Callithrix jacchus: one gene and its partners. The protein of the gene in region 2 interacts with the protein of the main gene of each other region in a pairwise test. Links are inferred from orthologs where the notes say so. Each region holds a gene or a part of one and is shown on either strand. Other genes may lie near its edges. The genes, in order: HNRNPF, HNRNPUL1, PRMT2, PRPF40A, DZIP3, WWP2 and SF3B4.

What was found.
Region 1: the proteins of HNRNPUL1 (region 2) and HNRNPF interact in a two-hybrid assay, tested with the Homo sapiens proteins (3 studies listed by BioGRID and IntAct). The link is inferred for Callithrix jacchus from reciprocal best matches to the Homo sapiens genes HNRNPUL1 and HNRNPF.
Region 3: the proteins of HNRNPUL1 (region 2) and PRMT2 interact in a two-hybrid assay, tested with the Homo sapiens proteins (2 studies listed by BioGRID and IntAct). The link is inferred for Callithrix jacchus from reciprocal best matches to the Homo sapiens genes HNRNPUL1 and PRMT2.
Region 4: the proteins of HNRNPUL1 (region 2) and PRPF40A interact in a two-hybrid assay, tested with the Homo sapiens proteins (2 studies listed by BioGRID and IntAct). The link is inferred for Callithrix jacchus from reciprocal best matches to the Homo sapiens genes HNRNPUL1 and PRPF40A.
Region 5: the proteins of HNRNPUL1 (region 2) and DZIP3 interact in binary tests that used the Homo sapiens proteins (3 or more experiments, as listed by UniProt). The link is inferred for Callithrix jacchus from reciprocal best matches to the Homo sapiens genes HNRNPUL1 and DZIP3.
Region 6: the proteins of HNRNPUL1 (region 2) and WWP2 interact in binary tests that used the Homo sapiens proteins (3 or more experiments, as listed by UniProt). The link is inferred for Callithrix jacchus from reciprocal best matches to the Homo sapiens genes HNRNPUL1 and WWP2.
Region 7: the proteins of HNRNPUL1 (region 2) and SF3B4 interact in binary tests that used the Homo sapiens proteins (3 or more experiments, as listed by UniProt). The link is inferred for Callithrix jacchus from reciprocal best matches to the Homo sapiens genes HNRNPUL1 and SF3B4.

Annotation. Positions count from the first base shown.
Region 1 is NC_133513.1:36,094,541-36,098,624, forward strand, and holds the start of HNRNPF (heterogeneous nuclear ribonucleoprotein F), read right to left. Parts: upstream 2,801-4,084; 5' UTR 2,747-2,800; intron 2,407-2,746; 5' UTR 2,343-2,406; intron 1,453-2,342; exon of another isoform or gene 1-1,452.
Region 2 is NC_133523.1:36,547,234-36,551,451, reverse strand, and holds the start of HNRNPUL1 (heterogeneous nuclear ribonucleoprotein U-like protein 1), read right to left. Parts: upstream 2,801-4,218; 5' UTR 2,719-2,800; coding exon 2,424-2,718; intron 1-2,423.
Region 3 is NC_133522.1:52,206,645-52,210,661, reverse strand, and holds the start of PRMT2 (protein arginine N-methyltransferase 2), read right to left. Parts: upstream 2,801-4,017; 5' UTR 2,633-2,800; intron 2,560-2,632; exon of another isoform or gene 2,051-2,559; intron 1,675-2,050; exon of another isoform or gene 1,585-1,674; intron 887-1,584; exon of another isoform or gene 783-886; intron 429-782; 5' UTR 370-428; coding exon 331-369; intron 1-330. UniProt on the Homo sapiens protein: Arginine methyltransferase that methylates the guanidino nitrogens of arginyl residues in proteins such as STAT3, FBL, histone H4. Acts as a coactivator (with NCOA2) of the androgen receptor (AR)-mediated transactivation.
Region 4 is NC_133507.1:77,403,625-77,407,124, reverse strand, and holds part of PRPF40A (pre-mRNA-processing factor 40 homolog A), read right to left. Parts: intron 3,029-3,500; coding exon 2,920-3,028; intron 2,041-2,919; coding exon 1,976-2,040; intron 1,623-1,975; coding exon 1,458-1,622; intron 402-1,457; coding exon 293-401; intron 1-292.
Region 5 is NC_133516.1:99,759,451-99,762,612, reverse strand, and holds the end of DZIP3 (E3 ubiquitin-protein ligase DZIP3), read right to left. Parts: intron 2,221-3,162; coding exon 2,110-2,220; 3' UTR 501-2,109; downstream 1-500. UniProt on the Homo sapiens protein: E3 Ubiquitin ligase proteins mediate ubiquitination and subsequent proteasomal degradation of target proteins.
Region 6 is NC_133521.1:27,519,610-27,523,109, reverse strand, and holds part of WWP2 (NEDD4-like E3 ubiquitin-protein ligase WWP2), read right to left. Parts: intron 2,886-3,500; coding exon 2,765-2,885; intron 2,317-2,764; coding exon 2,212-2,316; intron 731-2,211; coding exon 634-730; intron 417-633; coding exon 344-416; intron 174-343; coding exon of another isoform or gene 116-173; coding exon 16-115; 3' UTR 1-15. UniProt on the Homo sapiens protein: E3 ubiquitin-protein ligase which accepts ubiquitin from an E2 ubiquitin-conjugating enzyme in the form of a thioester and then directly transfers the ubiquitin to targeted substrates.
Region 7 is NC_133519.1:9,859,729-9,863,820, forward strand, and holds the start of SF3B4 (splicing factor 3B subunit 4), read right to left. Parts: upstream 2,801-4,092; 5' UTR 2,757-2,800; coding exon 2,723-2,756; intron 2,291-2,722; coding exon 2,162-2,290; intron 1,922-2,161; coding exon 1,379-1,921; intron 1,048-1,378; coding exon 841-1,047; intron 1-840. UniProt on the Homo sapiens protein: Component of the 17S U2 SnRNP complex of the spliceosome, a large ribonucleoprotein complex that removes introns from transcribed pre-mRNAs.

The DNA of each region.
Region 1 (4,084 bases), on a different chromosome or scaffold from region 2:
AAAAGATGTTAAATTAGAGAAATAAACCGTAACATGTAAATACAATTTTTTTCACATGCCTATAATCCCAACACTTTGGTAGCGAAGAAGAATCCCTTGAACACAAAAGTTTTAAAATCAACATAAGACACCACCTCTACCAAAAATACAAAAATTAGCAGGGTGTGCTGGCGACTGCCTGTGGTCCCAGATACTCTGGCAGCTCAGGTGGGAGGATCACTTGAGCACAGGAGGATCTCGGCAGCGAGCTGAGAGCACACCACTGCACTCCAGTCTGGGCAAAAAAGCGAGACCTGTCTCAAAATGTAACTAAAAAAAAAATTTTTTTTTTATAGAGACAGGGTCAGTGTCTGCGGCCCAGGCTGGTCTCCAACTCGTGGGCCCAAGCGATCCTACTCGGCCTCCTTAACTGCTGGGACTACAAGCGGGAGCCACAGCGCCCGGCCTATAATGACGCTAATGATCTAAAGGATGCATGAGGAACGTAATATCTACAAGGCAAAAAATCTTCTTGCTTAGGAATAAAGCACTCTCTTAATGTTCATCAAAAGTAACAATGTCTTATTTTATGATTTAGAAATTCTGTCTAGAAGAGCAAGCAGAGGTCACTTTTCAGGGCTCGCACTTATGGCATCTTTCGCCTACCTGGAAAACCCAAGAAATTTTCATCTTACTAGGAATTAAGAGACAAATACACACTCAACTTTTTAAAATGTAAGTAGAATTATACATGCATATTTTTGGAAGAATTAAGATGACTTGTGGAACAGAACGACTACAAAGACTACGCTTTCAGAACTCCCTGCTGCCTGAGGCTGCGGCCCTGACCCCGGCACAGAGCCCGCCCCGCGCGGTTCCGGGAAGCCGCCGCCGCCCGTTGCCCTTCGCGCGCAGCCGCCAGCGCGCGCCTCCTGTCCCGCCACGCAGCTGGCCGGTCCGAGCCCCCGGTGCCCAAGAGCAGTTTCAAGAACTTAACAGCCATTTTAGTTCGTCCCCGGGTCGCTAGGAGACCGAAAAGCCGCAGCGAAGGGCGCCCCGCGGGCGACGGCCGAGTCCGGCTCTCCTTCCGCCCTCCCGCTGGGACCCACGCGGCGCCGAGCGGAGGTCCCTGGCGCCTGGGGGGAGGGGTTCCCGCGACCAGGGCGGTCTGGCTGGTAGGGCGAGTCTGGCGCCCCGCTCCTCAGAACTCTAGTCCACGACTCCGAGGTCGGGAGAGCGGGGCGCCAGCGCAGCGCGACCTAGGCCCGGTCCACAAGTTTTCTAGAAGCAGGGCGGAATCGACGAAAATACTTCAAACTAGCAAAAAAAAAAAAAAGGACAACTAAGCCGAAGAGCAGGTATGAGTCGAAGATTTCCACCCCAAATACAAACACCATACCTCTAGGAACTGGAGACTAACCCAGAGACTGCGCTCCGAGAACACGCGGCGCTGCCGAGGAGGAAAAAGAGCCCAGGGCGGAGAGTGAGGGCTGAGGGAACCGGGCGTGGGAGGAGGGCGGAGCCAGCTTCCTGCCAGAGTCTATTGCAACTCCGGCGCCTGCGGCCACGTGAGCGCACGGCTTTCATTTTACTCAGGTATTACTACTCTTGAGACTAGGTCTCACTCCCGTCAGCCAGGCTGGAATGCCGCGGCACTATCACTGGTCACTGCAGTCTCGACCTCTCCGGCGCAAGCGACCCTCCCGCCTTAGCCTCCCGAGTAGCTGGGACAACAGGCGCGCGCCACCACGCGTAAATTTTTCTTTTAATTTTTAGCAGAGACGGAGTTTAACTATCTTGACCAGGTTGGTCGGGAACTCCTGGGCTCAAGACATCTTCCCGCCTGGGCCTCCCGCCGCGCCAAGCCTGTTCTCACTTTCAGAGCCCTCCGACGGTCGCCAGCGCTCCACCAGGAGGCCCGGCTATAACGCACCCGGCCGGCCATGTCTTCCCAGCCACCCGACTCCAAAATCTCAGGCCGCGGTGCTCACCCCGTGGGACCAGTGTCTGGGCGTACGGCTCTCTACCTACGACGCTGCGCCTCCCGACCCCAGTGGAGCCAGTCCTCGCCGGTCCCATGTACCGGCGCCTCGACCTCGAATCCCGTCAACCCAAATCTCAGCCCCTCAGTATGTGCAATCCTCCCTCGGCCCCAGATGTGCGGCGCTTGAACTCGGATCTCGCTTCCCTAATCCCAAATCTCAGGCCCAGCCCCACAATCCCCACCCCACTAGGCCCAATCGCCAGGGTGCGGGTACGCGGCCCCGGACCTCGAGTGATCTCCCGAATCTCAAATCCCAGCCCCACGGTCTCCACCCCCAGAGTACTCGGTCCCCGCTCGGTCCCGGGTGGCCGCCCCTCACCTCGGCCTCCGAGTCTCTACGTTCCCGCTCTCACATCAGGAACCCTGGTCGTCCCTCGGAGCACCTAGCGGAGGGTGAAAAGCGGGGAACTTGGCAGTTGTAGCTGTGGCAGTTGAGGCTTGTTGACCATCACCATGGAAACCCCCGGCTGCGAGCACGGGGCGGGGCCTAACAGAGGCGGGGGCAGGAACGCGACCGGTCCCAGTCCTCAGGGCCTGCCTGTCGAGTGCACGCGGCTTTGCCGGAAGCCCTCCTGCTCCCGGCGTGCCAGGCGCCGGCTAGGCCCTACTCCCCGGCTCGGCCCTTCGCCCTGGACACCTGGAAACAGAAACCCAAAGAGCCCGCGTCCCCACCCCGCTGCTACCTGCCGGCGTGACCGCAATTCGGTGCCCCAAGAACCTCACCTTAAGGAAGACGCGGCGCAGGCCTCCTTCCACGACGGACCGGAAAGACGCAAGGACCGCGGCAGGGTGGAGCCTTTGCGTATGGCTTCCGGGGGCGGGGCCGCGACGACGCTATTGTGACGCGCCCAGCGGGGAGCCGTCGATTGGGCGGCAGGCCGCAGGGCGGAGCCGACACTGGGGTGGGGGCAGGGGAGGCCGCGGAGACTCTTGAGCCCGGACGTTTCTGGAGAAGACAGGGGAGGGGAGGGGACGGGAGGAGGAAGAGGGAGTGGAGCGGCGGGAAAGATCCCTCTTACTTCCGCTGACTCCCTGGAGGAACGACAGTGGTGAGACTCGCAGGACTCTGAAATGTGCGCCGAAAGGACGCCTGATTTGAAGACTGGGCTGAAAGAAGGAAATGAGAGCCGATTCCCGGGCGTGGTGGTGCATGCCTGTGGTCCCAGTAATTTGGGAGGCTGAGGCGGGAGAATCACTTGAGCCCGGGAAGTCAAGGATGCAGTTTAGCCCTGAGTGCTCCACTGCCTCCAGCCTGGGCGTCAGAGCGAGACGCTGTCTCAAAAAAAATTTTTTAAGGAAAAAAATACACTGAGGGCAGGGCGCAGTGCCTCACTCCTGTAATCCCAGCACTTTGGGAGGCGGAGGGGGGCGGATCACGAGGTCAGGAGATCCAGGCCAGCCTGGCCAACATGGTGAAACCCCGTCTCTACTAAAATACAAAAAAAAAGGACGGCGTAATGGCGCGCGCCTGTAGTCCCAGCTACTCGGGAGTCTGAGGCAGGTGAATCGCTTGAACCCAAAAGGTGGAGGTTGCAGTGAGGCGAGATTGCGCTACTGCACTCCAACCTGGCAACCGAGTGAGACTCCGTCTCAAAAAAAAAAAAAAGCCGGGTGCGGTGGCTCAAGCCTGTAATCCCAGCACTTTGGGAGGCCGAGGCGGGTGGATCACGAGGGCAAGAGATCGAGACCATCCTGGTCAACATGGTGAAACCCCGTCTCTACTAAAAATACAAAAAATTAGCTGGGCATGGTGGCGCATACCTGTAATCCCAGCTACTCAGGAGGCTGAGGCAGGAGAATTGCCTGAACCGAGGAGGCCGAGGTTGTGGTGAGCCGAGATGGCGCCATTGCACTCCAGCCTGGGTAACAAGAGCGAAACTCTGTCTCAAAAATAAAAATAAATAAATAATAAAAATAAAACAGGCCGGGCGCGGTGGCTCACGCCTGTAATCCCAGCACTTTGGGAGACTGAAGCAGGCAGATCACGAGATTGAGACCATCCTGGCCAACATGGTAAAACCCTGTCTCTACTAAAAAATACAAAAATTAGCTGGGCATGGT
Region 2 (4,218 bases):
GAAAAGACAGTATTTATTAACTCCATTTTACCCACAAGGAAACCAGGCTCACAGAGATGAAGTGACTTGACAATATTGTTAAGCCAGATTTGAAACAAAGTCTGTTTGAGTCTAGGGACTACACTCCAAAGCACCTAATTCACTCTCCTCTCAGACAGGACTCTCTGGCCAGACCTCCAGGTCACTACTACTGCACTACCCTTTCTTGCTAGGCATTCCTGCCAGTCCCTCCTGCTTTAGACATGCACACAGGGCCACTCCTTTCTTCACAAGTCTCTGCAATGGGAAGTCCCCTTTCCAGCACCTGGATTCTGAATAATTCCTAAGCCACTGTCTATCCCAAATCCACACTTGGGTTATCTCCCTCCAGGAAACCTTACCTCTTATGAACAAGTATCCAATGCCAATCCCAACTCCTGTCTCTTCTGTTATCTCATTTTTCTTCTCATTCCCTTAGCCCCAAGTCCCAGGATGCCCTCTTTTCAGAAAAACTCTACAAACTCTATGCCAGAATCCCTTCTACTTACTGCTTAACCTCTCCAGTAGGCACATTTCCCAGTCCTACTAGAAAGCTGCCCGGAGGCCTGGCACAGTGGTTCACACCTGTAATCCCAGCACCTCAGGAGGCCGAGGCGGCCAGATCACTTGAACCCAGGAGTTCATGACCAGCCTGGGTGTTTGGCGAACCCCCAACTCGAAAAAGGAAGGAAGGAAGGAAGGAAGGAAGGGAGGGAGGGAGGGAGGGAGGGAGAAAAACGGGAAGGGGAAGGGGAAAAGAAAGAAAGCTGCTTTTTTCTTTTTTTGGGGGGACAGAGCCTTGCTCTGTCACCAGGCTGGAGGGTAGTGGCGCGATGTCGGCTCACTGCAACCTTCACCTTCTGGGTTCAAGCGATTCTCCTGCCTCAGCCTTCCAAACAGCTGAGATGAGAGGCTGGCGCTACCACGCCCAGCTAATTTTTGCATTTTTAGTAGAGATGGGGTTTCACCATGTTGACCAGGATGGTCTGGATCTCTTGACTTCGTGATCTGCCTGCCTCGGCCTCCCAAAGTGCTGGGATTACAGGCGTGAGCCACTGCGCTCAACCAAGCTGCTTTTCTCTAACTGAAGATTCACTCCGTCCCATACCAGGGTTTCCTCTCCTCAGACAACCACAGATCTACCTGAACTCATTCCCAGAGTCCCACTTCCTGGCTGATGCAGAGGTTCCCTGCTGCTCCCTGAGGGTCCCCACTCCCTGGGTACATAAAAAACTGCTTCTGGCAACCAACGAGATTTCTCTTGGAGATGCTCGGGTCCAGAAACACTCTGCGCACTCCACTCTGGGGCCTCCAGTGAAGTCAACAGGTCTCCTTTCTCTTTGCTCCCTACAGCCTGCCCCTCCTCATACGCCCAACCAGCTCCATACTCCTTCAGTGCTGGATACAGGATCCTGTCTCCCGCCACATACTTCATCCACTTCGAATGTTACCAACTCATCTGCCCCCACCCCTCCCACCCCCAGCTACCCCCTGTTCGCGGAAAGCCCACAGTCAGCCCCAGGCCATTCAGCAGCAGCCTCGGAGTTATCTGTCCTCAGTCTTCCTAGCTCTAGACCCCCGGATCTTTTGTCCAGGGAAGCATCCTCTCCCCCGCCAGCCTCTGGACCTCTTCTAGCGGCCAACCAGAAAGTCCCCAGATCTCAAAGCACCACATGTCCAAGCTGTGCCTGCCTCAAGGGTGGCCTTCCAACCGCGGAAGAGAGATGCGGTGCCCTCTGGTTCAAGCTCCCGCATCCCCCTAAATGCTCACCAGCCAACCTCCAGAGCACTGAGTTCCTTCGATCCTCCCCAGCCACAGACACCAGCGCCTCCACCTCACCCACCCACCCCCGTAGCAAACGGGAGAACTCCCAGGATCGCATCCAGCGGCATACTCCAGGATCCTCCTTCTTCAAAACTCTCCCAGCCCCGCACACCTGGACATTCTCTCCCCACCCTGGAAACACGGCTCCCCGCCCCCCAGCCCACACGCTGGGCGAGCACGGCCGCCGAGCCCTCCGAGCTCCGAACCCCAGGATCCCCATTTTCGAGACCCTCACTAGCCCAAATGGAAAACGTCTTGTTCTTCCGAGTCTCTCCGGCCCCAGAAACCAAGTTTCCGGTCTCCGATCCGAGCCCCACGGTACGGAATCCTCCCCGCCACCCCGGCCTCTAATCTCCGAAACCCAGAGCCCCTCCCCCAGTGTCCCCCCTGCACCGAGTGTCAGGATCCACCCTCCGGTCGCGCCGGGGCCCTTGTCCCCAGATCCTTTTCAGCGGCGGGTGGCGGGATCCCCCGATCCTCTAGTCTTCTCCCCGACCTCAGGCGCTGGACTCCCGCGTCCCACAGCCCTTTCCTCGGCCCAGGCTCCGGGCTCCCCGGCCCCCGCCCCGCGCACTCTCACAATGTCCGTCCGGCCCCGAGTAGCCGCCGGGCTCCGCGTGCGGCTGCAGCCCGGGCGGCGGTGGCTGCGCGGTCCCCTCCAGCTCGGAGCCCCCCTCGGTCTCGACCTCCTCGTTGATGTGCCCAGGTCGCCCCGGTTCGTCGTCGGCCTCGAGCTCCCGCTCGTCGTCAGGCTCCTCGGCCTCCAACGCCGCCTGCAGCCGCTCAGCAAGCTCGGCCTTGAGGCCTCGAGTGTCCAGGCCGCGGCGCTGCAGCTCCTCGCGAAGTTCGTTCACCTTCAGACGGCGCACATCCATGGCCCGGGCCCCCGGGGTGGCCCCCGAGCCCGGCCCGGCCCCCCAGGGCTATGTCCCCCTTAAACCTTTCCTGTCAGAAGGCGAAGGGGGAAGGGGGGGGCCCACTCCAATGGCGGCGGCGGCTCAAAATGGCCGCCGCCGCCCTCTCCCCCCTCACCCGTGCCTCGTCCGATGTAACACGAGTGCCAATTGGTCAGTGCTTGGGGCAACGGGCGCCGGCCATGAGACCCAGCCAATCAGAACGCGGTTTTCAAAAAACGGCAACGAGAAGGCCCAAGAGCTACCGGGAAGGAAGCGTTGGCCTACGTCGAGGCCGAGGCCGGAGCGGAGGGCGGGAAAAGGCAGGAGGCGGGGCGCGCGCTGATTGGATAGCTCTCCCGCGCCTCCTGCCGTAAGGCCCAATGAAAACAAGGGAGTAACAGTTTGGTCCAATCGGCGGTGAGATCTCAGAATGAGTGCCCCACGGCCTTTCTGCGTAGTCCTTTCATCAAACTAAGTGTCTCTGTAACACACATTCCGATTGGTCTACATCTCCCGCCCCTTGAGGAGTCCGAGCGGGTAAAACCACAAGAACCAATGAAACGGAGTGTCGGCAGAAACCCCTCCTTCCTGTTGCCTTTAAGAAACCGGAAACAGATGAATTCACCGAGGGCCTGCCCCTTGCCGTTAGGGCGGTTTCAAAACAATCTGCCCACCAATCGTAGTTATTGTCTTAGCTCCTAAAGCTGGCAGAGATGGCTCGTTTTAGGAAAAGTTCACCAGATTGGCCGTGCTTTAGAGGATTGTCTCACAAATTTCGCTGTAGTAGGAGGTATATGGAATAGAGATTAAGTGAATATACAGTTCGTAATCTGAAAGAAACCCAGTCGTTTTTAGAAAAAGCAAAATTTTGACTTCAGGAAATCCCGAAGGTTTGGGGGTAGAGGCCAGACTAACAACGGGAGGCAAGTTGCCCTTCCCTTGGGTAGTCCGCAGCTGCCTTCCTCTATGGTGGGTACCTGACGTGGAACGGGCGCTCTGCACGCTACCATAGAGCCTTCCCCTCCCGAAAGACCTCCAGAAGTTCACCGACCGCTCTCCCGAATCCTCTAATCGGCTGTTCTCGTAAATCGGGCTATCTGGCGTCTGTACCTACAAGCTCAAACCCGCGGATCAGTCATTAAGGCTCGCGCTCATGAATACAAACGCCAGAGAGCTTCCCAGTGCCTAACGCCGCACCACCTGTCGCCTCTAACTCAGAAAGCAAAACTCGAGTAAGACGCAATCGGGGTACACGATGCAGACTCCTACTCCCTCCCGAGCCACACGTTAAGCCCGCAGAAGCCACACACCATCTCTACTTAGACAAAGGCACACCCCGCAGAGATAAACAAACAGGCATGCGTCACATCAGACGCATCCAGTTCTTTTTTTCCTCTTTCTTTCTTTCTTTCTTTTTTTTGAGATGGAGTCTGGCTCTTGTTGCCCAGGCTGGAGTACAGGGGCGCGATCTCGGCTCAC
Region 3 (4,017 bases), on a different chromosome or scaffold from region 2:
CGATATATTGCTGGTATTACGCATGAAATTTTATTGAACAGCTCAGAAAATATGCTTGCTTTGCCAGTTCACGTACCAAAAATGGAAGCCTAAATGATGCTGCTGTTTTGGGGCTATTTCTTTGGAAGGGTTGATGGTGCCCAGTGCAGGATGTCATCCTACAGACACCGCGTCTCCTCTGCCTCACAATCTTCACATTTAAGCATTCTACTGTGTGGCCACCTTCCAAGGCACAAGTCAAGTTCCATCACATCTGTGAGGTGACACTTAACTCTCTGTAATGTTCCCATTCATTAAACACAGATTTTTAGGAACTGGAACCGAAATTACCTGTGATTCACTTCTGGGACAGTCACCTGATGTTGCCATAGTTCTCTTGGGCTCTGCCTCATAACTCCTGCTTTATTTCATTTTCTTCTCCATTTCTACTTTTAAAAAGAGAAGGAGACACAAAGTACTTGCCACGTTAATAATTAAGTTCACTTAACTTCTAAGGTCCATGACAAAGGTCCTCTACCAAATAGAAATAAAATGTGTATGTGCGAAGAATGGTATAGAAGTGAAAATTATAATCACAATTCTTCACAAAGACAAAAGCATTTAAAAATCATAAACTTCAAACAGTGCGTGTTTTCTTCACTAGTCCACAAGGTGTTAATCTTACTCATTCGCTGAAGCCTGTTAGTTTCTGTCAGATCAAATGTCGACTTAAAGCAATATAAATCAGTATTCATTCTTTTCTTAGAAATGTGACAGCTTTAATTCCAATTGAAAGTCCCTACCTGGGACTTTGGTGTTTCCACTAACAGGAACGAAGGTGTGCATCTTCCGGTCTTTTCCTTCTCAATTTTTATTTTTCCAGTAACAGTGTAACCCACACTCCGCTCTGGGACGAATGTGCTTTTGCAATCGCATGGCAATTCTTTGTTTAAAATGCAAGCTTCACTTCTAAATTCAGACTTGATGCTCATTTTTGTGATGTTCATAGTTACAAATACTGATTTACAGAATTATATTTTCATTGGAAAACCGGCGTCCAAATTGGGATGGGTTGGAGTGGGTGCTGGGGTGCGCGCAGGATCCGGGCCCACCTAAGATGCCCTTGGGAGGAACAGGCTCATGGGGAGTGGGAACAGGTGGCCAATGAAGGCGGGTGAGAACGGGGCAAGAAGCGGGCAAGAAGCGAGGGGGCCGCGCGTGGACGCAGGAGCACAACAGGGTCAGGCTGCGAGCGCGCCTAGAGCTTCAGGACAGAGATCGCCTAGCCCGTGGGGCGTAACCGCGAAGGGCGTGGCAGGGCTGGTGGTGAGGTGGGCGTGACCGCGGAGGGTGTGGCCGGAGCCGGCGCTGGGTGGTGGGCGTGGCCGGGAGGGGGCGCGGCGCACTGGGAAGGGTGTGGCGAGGGCCGAGCTCCCGTTTGGACGCCAGGACAGGAAGCACACAACGCGAGGGCGATCGGAGGTCCCAAAGGGGGGCGGAGGCCTAAGTCTGCCAGCGGCGTACAGGGAGTGCGAGGACGCCTCACCTGGCCTGTCTTGCCTTACGTGCAGTCCAGCCGCCTGAGCTGCCCATCAGGAAACCTACCTCAGCCGCGTTTCTCCGCTGAGTTGCGCGTTCACACTGCCAGTGCCGAGGGGCGGATGGTCCCTTCCAGGAGCCTGAGCCACCGCCCTCAACCCGCGCAAGCGCAGTGCGCGCAGGCCGTCAGCCGAGAAGGCCCAGCCCACAGCCAGGCGCCCCCGCGCAGGCGTCGTCCCCAGACGCCCCGCCCTCTTGGGAAGCCGGGCCACCGCCCTCGGCTCGCGCAGGCGCACTGCGCACAGACCATCTGTAGCTAGGACAGCGTCCTACGCAGGCGCACTGCATGTCTGCGCCTCTGCGGTCGTGCCAACCCGAGGCCGAGCGCCCCCATGTGTAGAGCTTGTCCCCAACCGCCCAGCCGCGTCTCTCGGCTTGGGGTCCGACCCGGGGTGCAGGGCGTGGGCAGGAGTCCGACCTAGGGCGGGGGGCGGAGCTGGGCACTTCACGGCCTGGGAAACAGAACCCCTACGAGCCACAAAATGGCTGAGGCTTCCGTGGAGGACGCGCCCGCGCACGTCTTCCTGTTTTCTCTCAAATAATTCAATTAACTTTCCCATCCGCGCTGCACAGTGTGCGCCCTCTGCCTTTCTTCTGGACAAATGGAAGCAGAATGATAACGTTTCTGTTTTGCTGAGAGGAAGTGTGGGGTTCATGAGAAATGGGCGGCACTGATGCCTGTAAAACAGACATAAATTCGAAGGGCCCCCTGCAGCCATCTGACCGGACTCCCTCCTTGACCAGGACACCCTGAAATTCAACCTGAGGGACTGTTCCGGCCTTGAGGAGAAGGAGGGGTTGGACAGCCTTACTATACTCCTCCGGCGTTAGCATCAAGGCAGACCGTAGGTCTGATAGAAAATGTAGAAGGAAAATAAATCTTGGGGCTCCCACATCATTAAGCCAAAGGGGGAAGTCAAGCTGAGAACCGCTTAGGGCAAACCTGCCTCCCATTCTATTCAGCGTCATCTTTCTGCTCAGGTAAGTGCATAGCTGATTACCTCCCGTGGAGAGGCCAACCCGAAACTCGGGAATGCAAACGTCCCTTACTTACCTGTGAACCGGAAGCCGCCTCCCGCTTCAAGTTATCCCTCTTTTGCTTCGAGTTGTCCCACCTTTCAGACCAAACCAATGTTCATCGTACGTATCTTGATTGATGTCTCATGTCTCCCTGAAACGTATAAAACCAGCTGTGCTCTGATCACCTTGGGCACATGTCTTCAGGACCTCTTGAGGCCGTTTCATGGACATGCATCCTTAACTTTGGCAAAATAAACTTCCTAAATGGACCGAGACCTGTATCAGATATTTGAGATTCACATTTTGGTAACCCCAAAGGGCTTCTGAGTAGAGGTATTCTACTATTCACATTTTGGTAACCCCAAAGGGCTTTGACAAATCTCCTATCGGTCTTTGGTACCAGTTTGAGCTATCCTTATGGCTCAAACAAATAGGAGAATTTGCTGAGGCATGGAAGCAATCCCTCCAGAGAATCCCTGATCTACTCAGATTTGGTCAAGCTCTAAAGTTTATTTTGCTGTACAGCTCCTTTTGTGTGGGGGGGAAGGGGGACAGGGGTCCTTGCATCCAACACAAGGAAGGCAAGTTTTTTCCTGCTTCCATGGCAAGAAAAGGCAGGTAACTCCTTTGTGGAGTTTGAGCTCACTTCCAACAGGAAAGATGAGGGTTTTTTCCCCCCTGCTCCTAGGATGGTAGACAGCAATCCACCAAACTGTATCTTCTAAGTGGAGCATTTAATTAGTTTACATTCAAGGCTAATATTAATATCTGAAGTTTTGTCCTTGCCATATTGTTGTTTTCTAGTTGTTTTATTATTGCTTTTTTATTTTTATTTTTCTGTAACTGTGGTTTGGTGGAATTCTATAGTGGTATCACTTGATTCCTTTCTCTTCCTCCTTTGTGTAATTACTTTACCTATGAGTTTTATACTTTCGCGTGTTTTCATAATGGTTAATGTAATCCTTTTGCTTCCAAGTTAGGACTCTTTTAAGCATTTCTTGTAGGACCAGTCAAGTAGTGATGGATTTCCTTAGCATTTCTTTATCTGGGAAAGACATTTGTTCCTCATTTATGAAAGTTAAGTTTGGTGGCTATAAAATTCTTAGCTGCCCTTTTTTTCTTTCAGGACTTTGTCTTATAATGATTCTGCTGAGAAGTCTGCTGTTAGTCGGGTAGGCTTTCCTTTATAGGTGACAAGACACTTTACTTTTCTATTTATGTTTTCAGAATTTTCTCTTTCACTTTGACTTTAAACAGTCTGATTGTCATCTCCCGTGGCAAAGTCCTTTATGCATTTTATTTCTTTGGAAAATATTGAGCCCCTTATATTTGGATATCTAAATTTCTTGCTAGACTTGGGAATTTTTCATTTATTATTTTATTAAATATTATAAACCTTTTCATCTCTCTTAGCCCTCA
Region 4 (3,500 bases), on a different chromosome or scaffold from region 2:
TTTTCCAAAGTTAGCATAAGACAGCCAATTAATGACAATACAAATAGCTGAATGAGTACTCACTGACTCTACATCAGTAGTACTTTATATGGTAGATGAATGGAAAAGAAGCTTATTATTATAGAAGCTATACATTCCTCTGTAAAGATTACTTCCAATAAATAAATAAATCTGCTATACCAAATAAACTAGATAAACTAAGCCATAAAAATGTACAAGTTATAAAACCACTTCTCATCAGAATGAGAAAACATCTTTTGTTATCTGTAAATACCAAAACTAAGAATAATACCTTTTCCTTTTTTGAAAGAAAGAACAAAACATCTTCATAGATTTCAAGACGATCACGTTCTGATATTGCATTCCAAACTTCCATCTCTCCAAACATTTGCTCTGCTTTTCTATTTGTTAAAAAGATATTATACAACAAAAATTAATTTTAACCAATTTTAAAACTACAAAATGAACACTTTCTAAGCTCATAAACGTATTAAAGGCAAACTCCTGGATAATCTCTCACACACACACACACAGAAAAAAGCACATGCCTCCATCTCTCCTTAGAGATAGAGGGGATAATTCACATTGGGCAACGTTTATGGTCTAGACTACGTCTTATTCTAGGGGCAGCCACACGGACTACCAAAATGCCTTCAGAACTAAATTACAGACTTCTCTAGAATACGGAGGAAAACAAAGAGGTACACATGGAAAATAGGTTTAATAACATATGAAAAAAATTTTAATATTAAATTACCCACAATTTTACATAATAAAGCAACCTAAAATGAAGAATGCTATATAAAACAGTTTATTAAAAATGCTATACCTACTGAATGAAAATAGCCTCTTTTTTCCCCACAAATAACAATAATTTCAATGTTTTTAATTAAACGGCAATCAAATTTTTCTTTTCCTTTTTTCTTTAGGGGGGGACAGGGTCTCACTGTCACCCTGGAGTGCAATGGTGCAATTATGGCTCACTGCAGCCTTGACATTTCTGGGTTCAAGTGATTCTCCCACCTCAGCCTCCCAAGGAGCTGGGACTACAGGCATGTGCCACCATGATTAGCTAATTTTCGTATTTTTTTTTTTTTTTTCTAGAGACAGGTTTTCCCATGTTGCCAAGGCTGGTCTTGAACTTCTGGGCTCAAGCCACCTGCCTGCTGCGGCCTCCCAAACTGTAGGAATTATAGGTGTGAGCCACTACATCTGGCCTCAAACTTGATTATTAAATGCAGTCTTTCTCCCCTTCTTTCAGTCTCTAAAACACTTAGTAAGTCTGTAAGTTAAATTGTATATTTAACTACAGATTTATTTTGTACCTCATGAAACTTCTACATTCATTGACATCTAGCTTTATTTAATAAGCTCTGGATCAGCTACTGCACATGGCAAAAAAGATGACACAAACAACAATGTAGTAAATACAGGCCATGGAACACTGAACATCTTACTTGTATCTCGTTGTGGAAGTCATTTTCTCATGATTTTCAAGAAAACGCTGAAAGGACTCTTTAGCCTCTTTGTACTTTGATCTTGCTTCTTCTTTTTCTTCTTTCTCTGTCTGGACTTTATAGGCATTAAAGGCTTGCTTTTTTTCACTTAACTTTGCCAAAGCACTAATAGAAAAATATCATGTAAGAGTAAACACAGGCAAAATAATGAAATAGTGGTTTGAAAAAATAGTAAAATTGTTTTCACATATAAATTAAGAAAATTTCAAAAATTTATTAAAGACAAGGAAGTAATTTCTACTTTTAAAATAATTCTTGTTTTATATACAGCAGGGTACTCGAATTGTTTGATGAGCCTTTGACTTCTCGATTTATATTAGACATAAAACAACTCTGTACTAGGTATCCTAAACAACAGAAGTCAATGGAGTTAAATGTTGTATCTTTCTATACAACTTTTAAATGTGCTACACTTGCTATGGTCAAAGTGAAAAGTAAATAAAAAATTGAAGTACTACCTGTATCGTGGATCATTTATAATCATTTTCATAGCTTGCTCCCATGAAGCATTCGATGGTACCCGCTGAAAATCATTTAAATGACAAATTAAAATGTCACACAAGAATAAAGTCACATAATAGGGAACCAAGTACAGTACTCACTGTAAACATTAAGCTCTTCCCTTTGCAGGAGTTTGAAACAAGTTTTAAAAAATAGTATTTTATTGGCCTGGAGTGGTGGCTCACACCTGTAATTCTAATACTTCGGGAGGCCATGGCAGGTAGATCATGAGGTAGAGAGATCGAGACCATCCTGGTCAGGATAGTGAAACCCTGTCTCTACTAAGAACACAAAAACTAGCTGCGCAAGGTGGTGGATGCCTGTAATCCCAGCTACTCGGGAGGCTGAGGCAGAAGAAGTGCTTGAACCCGGGAGGCAGAGGTTGCAGTGAGCAGAGATCACGCCACTGCACTCTAGCTTGGTGACGGAGTGAGATTCCGTCTCAAAAAAAAACCCAAAAAACAAAAAACAAAAAAAAAAATGTGTTTTTTATTGAAGGCAAATCTGTGTAATACACCTATGAACTAAAATGAAAACTTTATACTGAAATTTAAAGATCATAAATGCCTTTTTCTTAAACTACTGATAAAAGATAAATAATTATTATGAATTAAAAAGCCTTAAATTAAATATTGGATAGAAATGTGCTTGTGAAGTACCTTGTGCACAATAGTTTTTGTGTTGAAAGTCAGTTTCACAAAAGAGTTCTTCAAAAAAAAAAACAAGACTTATTTAGTTGATATTTGGTTACAACAGTTCATGAGATTGGAATTATCAATACCATCAACGTGCTAATTAAAGAGTAACCTCATTTACCAAGTAATTATTATGTGTCACCTAAAAATCTATAATGCTTGATGTCAAAAAGCTAAGAAACAACAAAAATCTGCAATATTAATACCTTTTCTTTCAATAATTCTTTAAAAGCTTGCTTTGCCTCCTCCTTTGTATTCCAAGTATATGTTTTCTTTGCTGGTTGGCTCTCCTCCTCTTCTTTTTTGGGAGTAAAACTAGAGAGAAATTTAAATGTGGTATTTTTGAATTAAATAAATTTTTGCTTCATTTATAAAAATAATGCCTAAATTGTTTGAATGTTTGATGTTGAGCTAAATTTGACATTTAGAATAAAAGCTATATGAACCCTAAAAATACAGTTTCTTAAAACTTCAGTTATTAAATCACTTTTTAAGACCCTGTACAAATGACAAAATAAACGCTTAACTGACCTAAAACATTAGCTCCTCTGACCAATAGCATAATAGTTTTAAATGGCTTATTAAACTTATTTACTGGTTTCATATTAGTGCTATAGTAACTCTAAGCATTTGGGCAAGTGTGAATATAAATAAAATTTAAGGATCTAAATCAGTGTTGACAAACTATGATCCACTAGACAAATTCAGCCTATTAATTTTTGTAATTATAGTTGTACACGAACATGCCCATGTTCATTTGTTTTACACTGTTTATGGCTGACTGTGC
Region 5 (3,162 bases), on a different chromosome or scaffold from region 2:
GCCTCAGCCTCCCAAAGTGCTGGGATTACAGGGATGAGCCACTGCACCTGGTCTGATCTGATGGTTTTAAAAATGGAAGCTTCCCTGCACACGCTCTCTTTCCTTGTCTGCTGCCATCCATGAAGATGTGACTTGCTCCTCTTTGCCTTCCACCATGATTGTGAGGCCTTCCCAGTCATGTGGAACTGTTAAGTCCATCAAATCTCTTTTGTAAATTGCCCAGTCTCAAGGACGTTTTTATCAGCAGCATGAAAACGGACTAATACAAGGTGCTAGACAAGGTGGGGCTCTATAAATTCTAAATTCTGCAATTCTAAGACATTCTTGGTATTTTAAATCTCTAGATGACTGCCATCATTTTCTGATATTTTTCCCTTACATGTTCCAGTCTATTCTCATTACAGAAGAATATGTTTAACATACAATTACAGAAGCAGATGTTTTGAATAGAGATTTAAAGTACTTTCAAAATATATTTGGATTGAAATATACAGGTAAAATTGCTTTTGAGTCAGGAAATATTTATTCTTCCTCATAAATTAAATGAAACTGTGAATACAAACCAAAGGACATTGATCTCACATGGTAACTCTGAATTCTTTTAATTCTGAAACCAGAGACATGTACAACACTTACACAATTCACACAACACTATTTTCAAAATAGATTTTTTACCCCTAAAAATGAAAATTCTTAGTGACAAGCTTTAGATATGTAACTTATCTTAGTGTGTATTAACTTTGTCACAAAAAGCAACTACGGACAAATAGTTTTCTCCTCTTCTGACATAAGAAAGTGAAATTACAGACTTTTAAAGCAGAAAAAAAATTTCTCCAAAATGCAAATGATTAAAGTCCAAGGAACAGAAGATCTCAATTATTCAATTGAGTGAATAATTTAGTTTGCATATTAACTCCTTTTCTTACCACTTCCTGATTTCTGATTCTGGTAAAATTTATCCTGTAGCTACTGGGCAAGGCACTGGGAACACAAAGAAGTTTTAGACAAGGTCTACTGGTGTGCTGGTAAAGGTTTCACAACTAGCTCTTGAGGGAAAGGTGGGTCTTCACTTAGAGCATTTACCAATTTCTACGGTATAAATCCTCCAACTGTGGCAGATTTCAAGCTACCAACAATTTGACAACTGTCTCACAAAACTCCTCAAATGAATGATTGCTACTCACAAACCATTATAAGCCAGCTCTGACACACCACTGTATGCCCTCTACCTTCAAGTAGCTCATAATCTCTTCGTGGGTGCCTATGTAAGAGGATATAAAAGAATGGGGAATATTGAGATAAAACTTAAGTCAATTATATTTTTAAGAAGGTTTTAAAAGTTAGGAGGTGCTGGGCACAGTGGCTCATGCCTGTAATCCCAGCACTTTGGGAGGCTGAGGCGGGTGGATCACCTGAGGTCAGAAATTCAAGACCAGCATGAACAATATGATGAAGCCCTGTCTCTACTAAAAATATAGGGCATGGTGGCATGCACCTGTAATCCCAGCTACCTGGGAGGCTGAGACGAGAGAACTGCTTGAACCTGGGAGGTGGAGGTTGCAGTGAGCCAAGATCCCGCCATTGCACTCCAGCCTGGGCAACAAGAGCAAAACTCTGTCTCAAAAAAAAAAAAAAAGTTAGAAGGAATACGAATTTCTGTGTGATTTTCCTACTTCCTTACTATTTCCCTTTTCCTCTTGCTTAAATTTATTTCAGAAAATTATAGTGTAGAATACTTGAGGGGAGAGTAAAGGATGAGTGAAATAAGAATTTTAAAAAGACAAGAAAAAACATCAAAACATCCTAAGAAATATACTAACAGTTATCATGTTTCCATTACAAAAAAAAACCTACTAAGATAAGAGCAAATATAGTGTAACTATTACAATTCCATCTGCTTCAAGCCCCTTCAGTTCAGTTCACAAGTCACGAAGATTTGTCCTGACTTCTTTGGCTGCTGTTTTGATAAGATTAGCTGGCTTCTTTAGCACTGTATTGAAGAGCACACAGCTTTACACCACTTACACAAGCAGCTCATAATAAAAGGCAGATCTAAATTTTGGAGTCTGAAAACTGAGCTTCCCCTGCATAGGCACCCCCCACCTTATATCAGATCTTGGGCAACTGCCGGCTAGGGTGACCAGGGAATTCTTCTGGTAGCAAAACGTGGAGTCTGCAGGTTGGACATGTCCCCTGTTGCATCAACCATGGTCTAATGCACTAAGGAGCAAAAAGATTTATGTCAGTCTCTTAAATTTAGCCTAGCAAAGGCAGTTGTCACTTCTTTGGGTGGATCTTTAAAGCCTTACCCTATGGCTTGTCAAGACAATTGCTGCAAACATGGCACTTCCTATGGTTTGCTGAGCAAAATAGGTGGTGAATGCACAATATCTTTTAGCCAGTTTATTCTATTAGAAATTATTTCTCCAACCCCCATTTTCAAGATGACTAGCAATTCCTCCTGACAAAGAAATTAGAGAAACTTGCTATATTCTTTCTTTGGTTTATTATATACTGTTCTCATTTATAATCCAGAAAAAGTCATAACTAATCTGTGAAAGTCTCTAGTACTTGGTATGAAATGCTTATGGTGTTTGCAGTTAAAATCCCTAAATGACAAATATACTTCTCAGATTGTTTTCTTCGGTGATAATGATAGTAATTTTTGACCATGAACTATCGGTTAAGTCATTTGCTTGAATACTGACTCTCCAAAAACAAATCATTTTTCCCTATATAAATAATGGAGGGGTGGGTCAGATGAGAGAGGATTAATATTAAGCACTATATATAATAGGCCCACTAACTATAGCCATAAAAAATAACATAAATGAATTATGTGCTTTCTACTCATGGGCAATGGCAAAGAATAAGATAAGTTTTGTTGAACATATATTTTCCAAATTATAGGACCTTATAAACTTCAAAGGGGAAAGTCAACAGCTAAGGATCTTTCCTGGAGAACTTTTGGGATTAGGCATTTTGTGGATCTCTCTTCATATCAAAGCAAATGCAAAGTATAAGTCTGTACCAGGTACCACATATCATATCTTTGAAATGATGTCTTAAAAACATGGGTTGACTGAATTGGCTATTGTTCACTTCCCTGAAAAACCTTTCTTTTGTATGATTATCTTTTCCTGTGTCAAATTACATATCTGC
Region 6 (3,500 bases), on a different chromosome or scaffold from region 2:
GAGGGGCAGCCTTGGTCACTCCTGTCCAAAGCCCTCGGTCTCCTCAATGGCATACAGCAGCTTCTCTCTCAGCTGTTCATAGCTCTTGTAGGGTGGGAGATCTAGACGGTTGAAGCTAAAGAGAGGAGGGAGGCGGGACAGTCAGCCCCGGGAGGCCAGAAGCTCCTGGACTACTGGAACAGAAGTGTTGCACATGTAAAACATGGTAGATCAGATGCCCATCACAGTCCCATCTCTCCAACCCAGTACCCCAGGGGCATGCAAACACTACACCCACTGGGCTGCCCCAGGAGCTCATCAAGTCTGAGGCTCTCTGATCTCCCAGTAATACCAGCAGGCTCACCAGGTGTGGCTTCTGGGCAGCCAGGTTTCCTTGCCAACCTTGTCAATGCAAAACTTCTGTGGTCCATTGCTACCTGTGATCCAAGGCAGAACACATCGGATGTCAACAGAGACGCCCCGTCCCAAAGCGGGACCCTCCAGCTCCACCCACAGACAGGCTTGGCTCTAGGACACAGAGGCCACAGCTCTTCCCCATCCCGCCAACCTGCTACCAGGAAGACACCAGGTCTCTCCTCCCTCTGAGGTGTGCTCACTGCCAGCCAGGGCACCAGAGGGCAAGGGAACACGTACCGATGAGTTCAGCAAATCCCCCAACGGGCAGGCGGCAGGTCCCAGTAACAAACTGCAGCAGCCGAATCCTCTTCTCATTGTCCATCTCCTTCACCACCTGCAACTCCGCAAGTCAAGGCACAGTCAGGCGGCCCCTGCGCCCAGCACTTCACCCTAATGAGGAGCTCTCCAGGTCAGCGGGGCCCCTCTTTGGGGCTGAGAACACAAAGCAAGGTTGGGCAGGGGGTGACAGCCTCCAACCTGAGAAACTCCGGAAGGGCTTTTGCTAAGAGGATGTGTTTGCAGAAGATTCCCACCGTCCATGGGACATCCCTGGGTCTCAGGGACGCCTCCGGTTGGATATTCTCTTCCCACCCAAGTTCTGCTTTTTAGGAATAGACTCAAGATGGGAGTGGCTGCTTAATGGGTAGAAGGCTGCTTTCTGGGGAGACTAAGTGTTCTGGAATTAGACAGTGGTGACAGTTGCACAACACTGTGAATGTACTGGAAGCCACTACTCTGTTGCACAGGCTGGAGTGCAGCGGCGCAATCTCAGTTCACTGTAGCCTCCGCCTCCCAGATTTAAGTGGTTCTCATGCATCAGCCTACTGAGGAGCTGGGATTACGGGTACCTGCCACCATGCCCAGCTAATTTTTTTGTACTTTTAGTAGAAAGGAGGTTTTACTATGTTGGCCAAGCTGGTCTTAAACTCCTGATCTCAAGTGATCTGCCCACCTCAGCCTGGGTGGGAAGCCACTGAATTGTGTATCTTTTTTTTTTTCCAAAGTCACTTCTACATTTTTGGGTATATGTATAGCAGTACCCCTTCCTGGTACCAAATTTACTTTATTATGAATTGTGTATTTTAAAAACTTAAATGGGTTGGGCACAGTGGCTCACGCCTGTAATCTCAGCACTTTGGGAGGCTGATGGGAGGACAGCTTGAGCCCAGGAGTTCAGCACCAGGCTGGGCAACATAGCAAGACCCTGTCTCTATTGAAAAAAAAAAATGTAATAGTTAATTGTATGTTATACAAATTCCACCTCTACAAAAAGTTCGTATATATACATATGCATACAGACATATACTAAGAATATCTGTAATAGTTATGGTTTTTTATATGCTATACTTCATAACAACAACAAAACCCATGCACACTAAGGAATCAACACATTAATTATACGTAGGATGACAGCTCTTTCTGTTTTCTGGAGCCAAACCCCTGCCTTCCTGTCCCATCTGGCTGGCAGGGGACCTCTCAGCCAGTGACAGGTGCCATCTGCCTGCAGGTCTGTCCCTGCACACCAGCTGGTCCAAGGCTGACAACCTCCTGTCACATGCACCGGTCCACCACTGACAACCTCCTGTCACACGCGCTGGTCCACCACTGACAACATCCTGTCACACGTGCTGGCCACCACTCCACTAGAACTGCCCCCGTTCATCCCAAAGCAGGTGTATCGTCTCCCTTTGCAAGTTATGGGAGGTGAGGACCGAGTCAAAGCTGAAGGTCCTTGCGCATGAGGTTTCCTCAGGACCCATTTCCTTTGGCCAATGGCCCAAATGTCCCTGCCAAAACCTGGGCCCCGAGACCCACCTGCCAGAACCACTGGATCTGCTTGCTGTTCTTGGTGTAGTGCCGGTAGATGGTGTTCTTCTGCCAGTCGCTCATGTCTATCTCCTGCATGCCACACAGCATCAGCTGGGGAGAGGAGGAATCAGCATCCTTAGTGGTCCATCCCTACTCATCGGCCACTGGCCAGCATTTGACACTGCCCCAAACGTCTTCAACTAGCTGTTTTTGGTGTCAGCGTTAATCATATGGGTAATGTAAGTCCCTTTTTCTTTTTTCTTTTTGAGATAGAGTCTCGCTCTGTCACCATGCTGGAGTGCAGTGGTGTGATCTCGGCTCACTGTAACCTCCGTCTCTCAGGTTCAAGAGATTCTCCTGCCTCAGCCTCCAGAAGTTTCTCCTTTCTTGAAACAAGTGTCTAGAAAAGGATGGGTACTGAGATGCCAAATCAAACCCATCTGCCCTGTCGAAGTGGGAGTTTTATTGGTGAGTGTCTGTGGGTACACAGTGAGCGTATCACATAGCAGGATCGCCCCAGAAGCAGGGGCTCGGGGTCCCAGCAACCTCAGACACTTACCTCCAGCTCTTTCTCATCAAAGTAGCGCAGCCACTCCAGTGGGGCCACCTCATTAAAGCCATCCAGGAAGGCTTTGGTCTGCTCTTCCACACCTCGGGTGAAACGCCAGTCGGTCAGCAGCCTGAGACCAAAGACCAGCCATGAGTGGAGCCTGAGACAGGCCACGTGGCCTGGACCTACACAGGACCACTGGATTAGCAAAACTGACTTCGCACACCCAGACCGAGCCTGCTGGAGGCCCCAGAGTGCGGCCCTGAGGACCTCACAGTGACCTGCAGACACCTGAGTTTTTGAAACCATCCTCACCACCACCTCCTCCTGCTCCTGCCCCCAGCACCGACTGAACCTCAGACGTATGGAAGCATGGAGATAAAAAGCCTAAACCGAGAGACCTGAGGAACAGGCATGGAGAACGGGGACACAGGAGACAGTGGGTCTAGGCACACAAGCCACGGAGATCCTTTCTGCCTGGAGAAACATGCAGACAGTTCAGCTTGTTGTGACTTCAAAGAAATTCTACCCAGCAGGCTTGAAATCTTTCACGTGGCGAAAAAGTGTAGCTTGGAGCTAGTAACTAAGGACCTCAGCTCTGGCTCCCCCAGCTCGTGCCATCATGTGACTGGCTGCTAGTAGCCACCATTGAGGCAGATGCAAATGGCAGGGTCCTGGATCCACAGTGACCCATAGGCCACAGGTGGCGGCCCATCTTTCTCTGCAACCCGCTAGGTTTCCTGCC
Region 7 (4,092 bases), on a different chromosome or scaffold from region 2:
GAGCTTACAGGCATGTGCCACCGTATCTGGCTAATTTTTTGTATTTTTAGTAGAGACGGTGTTTCTCCATGTTGGTCAGGCTGGCCTTGAACTCCCAACCTCAGGTGATCTGCCCGCCTCAGCCTCCCAAAGTGCTGGGATTACAGGCATGAGCCACCGTGCCCAGCCAAGAATTTGTTTTCCTTTTTTCTTTCGAGACGGAGTTTTTGCTCTTCTTGACCAGGCTGGAGTGCAGTGGCACAATCTCAGTTCACTGCAACCTCCGCTGCCCAGGTTCAAGGGATTCTCCTGCCTCAGCCTCCCGAGTAGCTGGGATTACAGGAGCAAGTTACCATGCCCACCTAATCTTTTGTATTTTAGTACAGATGGGGTTTCATCATGTTGGCCAGACTGGTCTCAAACTGCTGACCTCAGGTGATCCACCCAGCTTAGCCTCCCAAAATGCAGGGATTACAGGCAGAAGCCACCATGCCCAGCCGAGACAGGAATTTCAAATAGGAAGACACGTTTCAAGTACATCAGAGGTCAAACCAGATAAGGAGAACTGTCCCTGAGATTTGGCAATTAGGTCACCACTTTGAGGTGGAGTTAGAGGAGAGAATGGAACTAAAAGGTAAAGAAACAAAAAACAGCAAGCATAGTCTGCTCATCAGAAAAACTTAAGAAATCATTTCAGACTGGTAGCTGTTAGAGTGTATTTTGTATGTTTTTTTATAAGAGAATGTCTGAAGAAAAGGAAAACTCTTAAACTGTTACTGTTGAACAAAGGGCAGCAGGGTGAGTGGTGACAGAGATGCTCTACCAAGCTCTTCCCTCCCTTTCCCAACAAAGCACACCTACCTGGATGGGGCATCCCACCTGGTGGGAATGGATGAGGATGTGAGTGTCCATGACCAGGATGTCCTGCCCCTGGGGTTCCTGCCGACGGGGGGCCGTGTCCTGCAGCCCCAGGCGGCATAGGTGGTGGGGGCATGGCTGGAGGTATCCCAGGTGGGAGGGCTCCAGGAGGCGGCACTGGGGGTGGGAAGGAGCCAGGAGGAGGCATGCCTGTAGAGGAAATGGAAGAAGGAAGAGTTAATGGTAGTGGGGAGAAAATGTCTTCAAAGAGCTGACCATATTTGGCCTCTCCAGCCACGGCGAGTTCTTTGCCCCTCCTCCCAGTGCTGGAAAATCAAAAGCAATGTTAGAATAGTCAAATAACTTCAGCCTCCCAAAGATACCCAACAACATTCTCCTCCACCACTTCCCATCACTCACTGACTTCCCATCACTCTTCCCATCACTCATTGACTCAATGTCCCTCTTTCAGACTCTTTTTTCTTCCCCTGCTGCACTCCTCCAACCTTAAGGACAAACATATTTTAACCAAAAGCCTTACCTGGTGGAGGAAGCCCAGACCCCAGTGATGATACCACAGGATTGGGGGCAGAGGGTGGAGGAGGCGCATCTGCAAACAGCTGATGAGGACGGTCAGCCTGGGAGAGTGGGTTCTGAGCTGCCAAAAGTCGTTCAGCTGCTGAGCCATGGCGCTCACCCTTGGAGTCCTTCTTGAAGGCGTAAGATACAGTGATAGGGCGGTTACAGAGGTACTGCCCATTCATGGCTTCAATTGCTGCATCCGAAGCATCAAATGAAGCAAAATTAATAAAGGCATAACCTTTGGAGTTGCCTGTGTCAGGGTCCCGCATAATCTTAGGGGTTTGTAAGATGACCCCAAAGGCGCTGAAAGTATCATAAAGCAACTTCTCATCAATCTCAGGGTCCAGGTTGCCAATGAAAATGTTGGCCCCTACATCCAGGTTTTTGTTGTGAGCTGATGCCTTGTTCACCCGTATTGGCTTCCCATAGAGTTTGATCATGTTCATGATCTTAATGGCATAGTCTGCATCTTCCTCACTCAAGAATTCCACAAAGCCATAGCCTGCAGAAGTGGAGAGGAGGTTAACAACCTAAGTGAAGAGATTCAAAATGGGGTAAAACTCACCTCCCCTCTGATCACAAAGAATGAGAAACAACCTCACTTTATTTGAGAATGGCTCCAGAAATAAACTGAACTGAGGCTTAAAACAAAGAAATCTTTAGGTTGCTCATCTCATTCCAAAACAGTTGTGAATACTGCTGGGACCCTCCAGGAGCAATTTGCCCCTTGCCATGTACTCACCTTGGTGCTGGCCAGTGACTCTATCCTTTGGCATGTGGGTGTTGACTACCGGTCCAGCCTGGAGAAACAGTTCCCACAGCAGCGGTTCACTAACCTTCTCATCCAGGCCCCCGACGTACACAGTGGCATCTGAAGGGAGGGAGCAGAAAGTCAGGGCAACGGTGAGAGTATAACAGGAAAGGAGGTGATGGAAACATGAAGATGGAACCCAACCAGAGGAACTGGGGACCGGGGCAGGGTAGGAGCAAAAAAAAAAAAAAAAATACGTTTAACCCTTAAACCTCTTTCTTCCCAAGACTTAGGAAATCCTCTCAAGGCTAATTTAGTATTCTGGGTGGATTTTTTTGAGTGGGAAGGCAGCAGGGGATTGGACATAAAAGTATCACACCAACAGGCCTAAGCCAGCACCCAGCCACCCCGCCCCCAGCAGGCATGGGGCCGGTTTCGCGCCCTCTGGGGAACCGAGGAGTTCAGCTTCCCACCCCTGCAGAGGCACTGCTGACCCTAGTCGGGACCTCCTCGCCATGCTGAGCGCATTCCAGATTCTCCCCCTCCAGTTACCCTGGTTCCGCTCGGAGATCGGCCCGGCAGCCATGGCGAAGGAGCTCCCGCCGTCTCCCAGCAGCGGTTCCGCTCTCTGACCTCAGCCCGACTTCCACTTCCGGGGCGAAGGCTGACGTATGGTGGGCGGGGCCGCAGAAGAGGAAGTGCCTGGGAGCAGCCGCAGCCATCTTAGGAGCCTCCTTGTTTTAACCCGGCTCGACCGGTATAGTCTTCGCCTCCCGCGCAGTTGTTCTGTTGCTAGTGGTCTAAGCGAGGAGGGCGAAATGGAAACGCTCAGACCCTCTTAATGCTAAGCTTGAAAAAATCACACTGCTCCCAAAAATGTAAATTCGAACTCTGAAAGGACAAGGCTTTACTTTTGCTATATTTTGTGGCCACTGATTCTTCTTTTGTTTCCCAGAGAAGAACGTGCTGAAGAGTCCCCGCAGCCGGAGGACTCGGCTGCTTTCAGGCGCAGAGGGAAGCTTCCATCTCGCCTGCAGCCTTCTTGCAGATTTGGCCTCACAGCCCTGATTTGGCCTCACAGCCCTGATTTGGGCTGGAGGTATTGGTTTTCCTTCAGGGGAGGAGACTGCGGAATGTCTGAGCTGGAGTGACGTCTGCGCTCACTTCGTCGTAATAACATGGGGAGGGGAAGGGTGGTGGGAATCAGGCTGCTCCGAGGGTGTTTGACCACAGCTGATGGGTGGATGGGCTCAGAGACTTCAGTATGGATTTCTAGAACACTCTGGCCCCAGAGACATTTTTTTTTTTTTTTTTTTTTTGAGACAGTCTCGCTCCATCGCCAGGCTGGAGTGCAGTGGCACGATCTCAGCTCGCTGCAACCTCCGCCTCCTGGGTTCAAGCAATTCTCCTGCCTCAGCCTCCCGAGTAGCTGGGACTACAGGCGCGTGCCACCACACCCAGCTAATTTTTGTATTTTTAGTAGAGACAGGGTTTCATCATGTTGGCCAGGATAGTCTCGAGCTCTTGATCTCACGATCCCCCTGCCTCGGCCTCCCAAAGTGCTGGGATTACAGGCGTGAGCCACCGCGCCCGGTAGCGACAACATCCTGACATGCTCGTGCCCCATCTAACCCTTTCCCCAAACTGCACTTTAATTCTGCAGCGCCTCACTAGACCCAGTTCCTCTGTTTCCTTATCAATAATATGGTGGATGCCTTCCTCTCTTGGGTCACACCCACCTTTTACCCACCACTCTTTGCTACCTAGGAGAATCCTTTATTCAAACACAAGAAACAATGCCAACAATGTGTATAAATACCATGCTTTAATGAACCCCTTAAATAGCAATTCCACTACAAAAATACACAGAGGAGACAGGGTGTTTCCTGTATCCACCTCATTCTCAGAAAACTGTAAGGAAA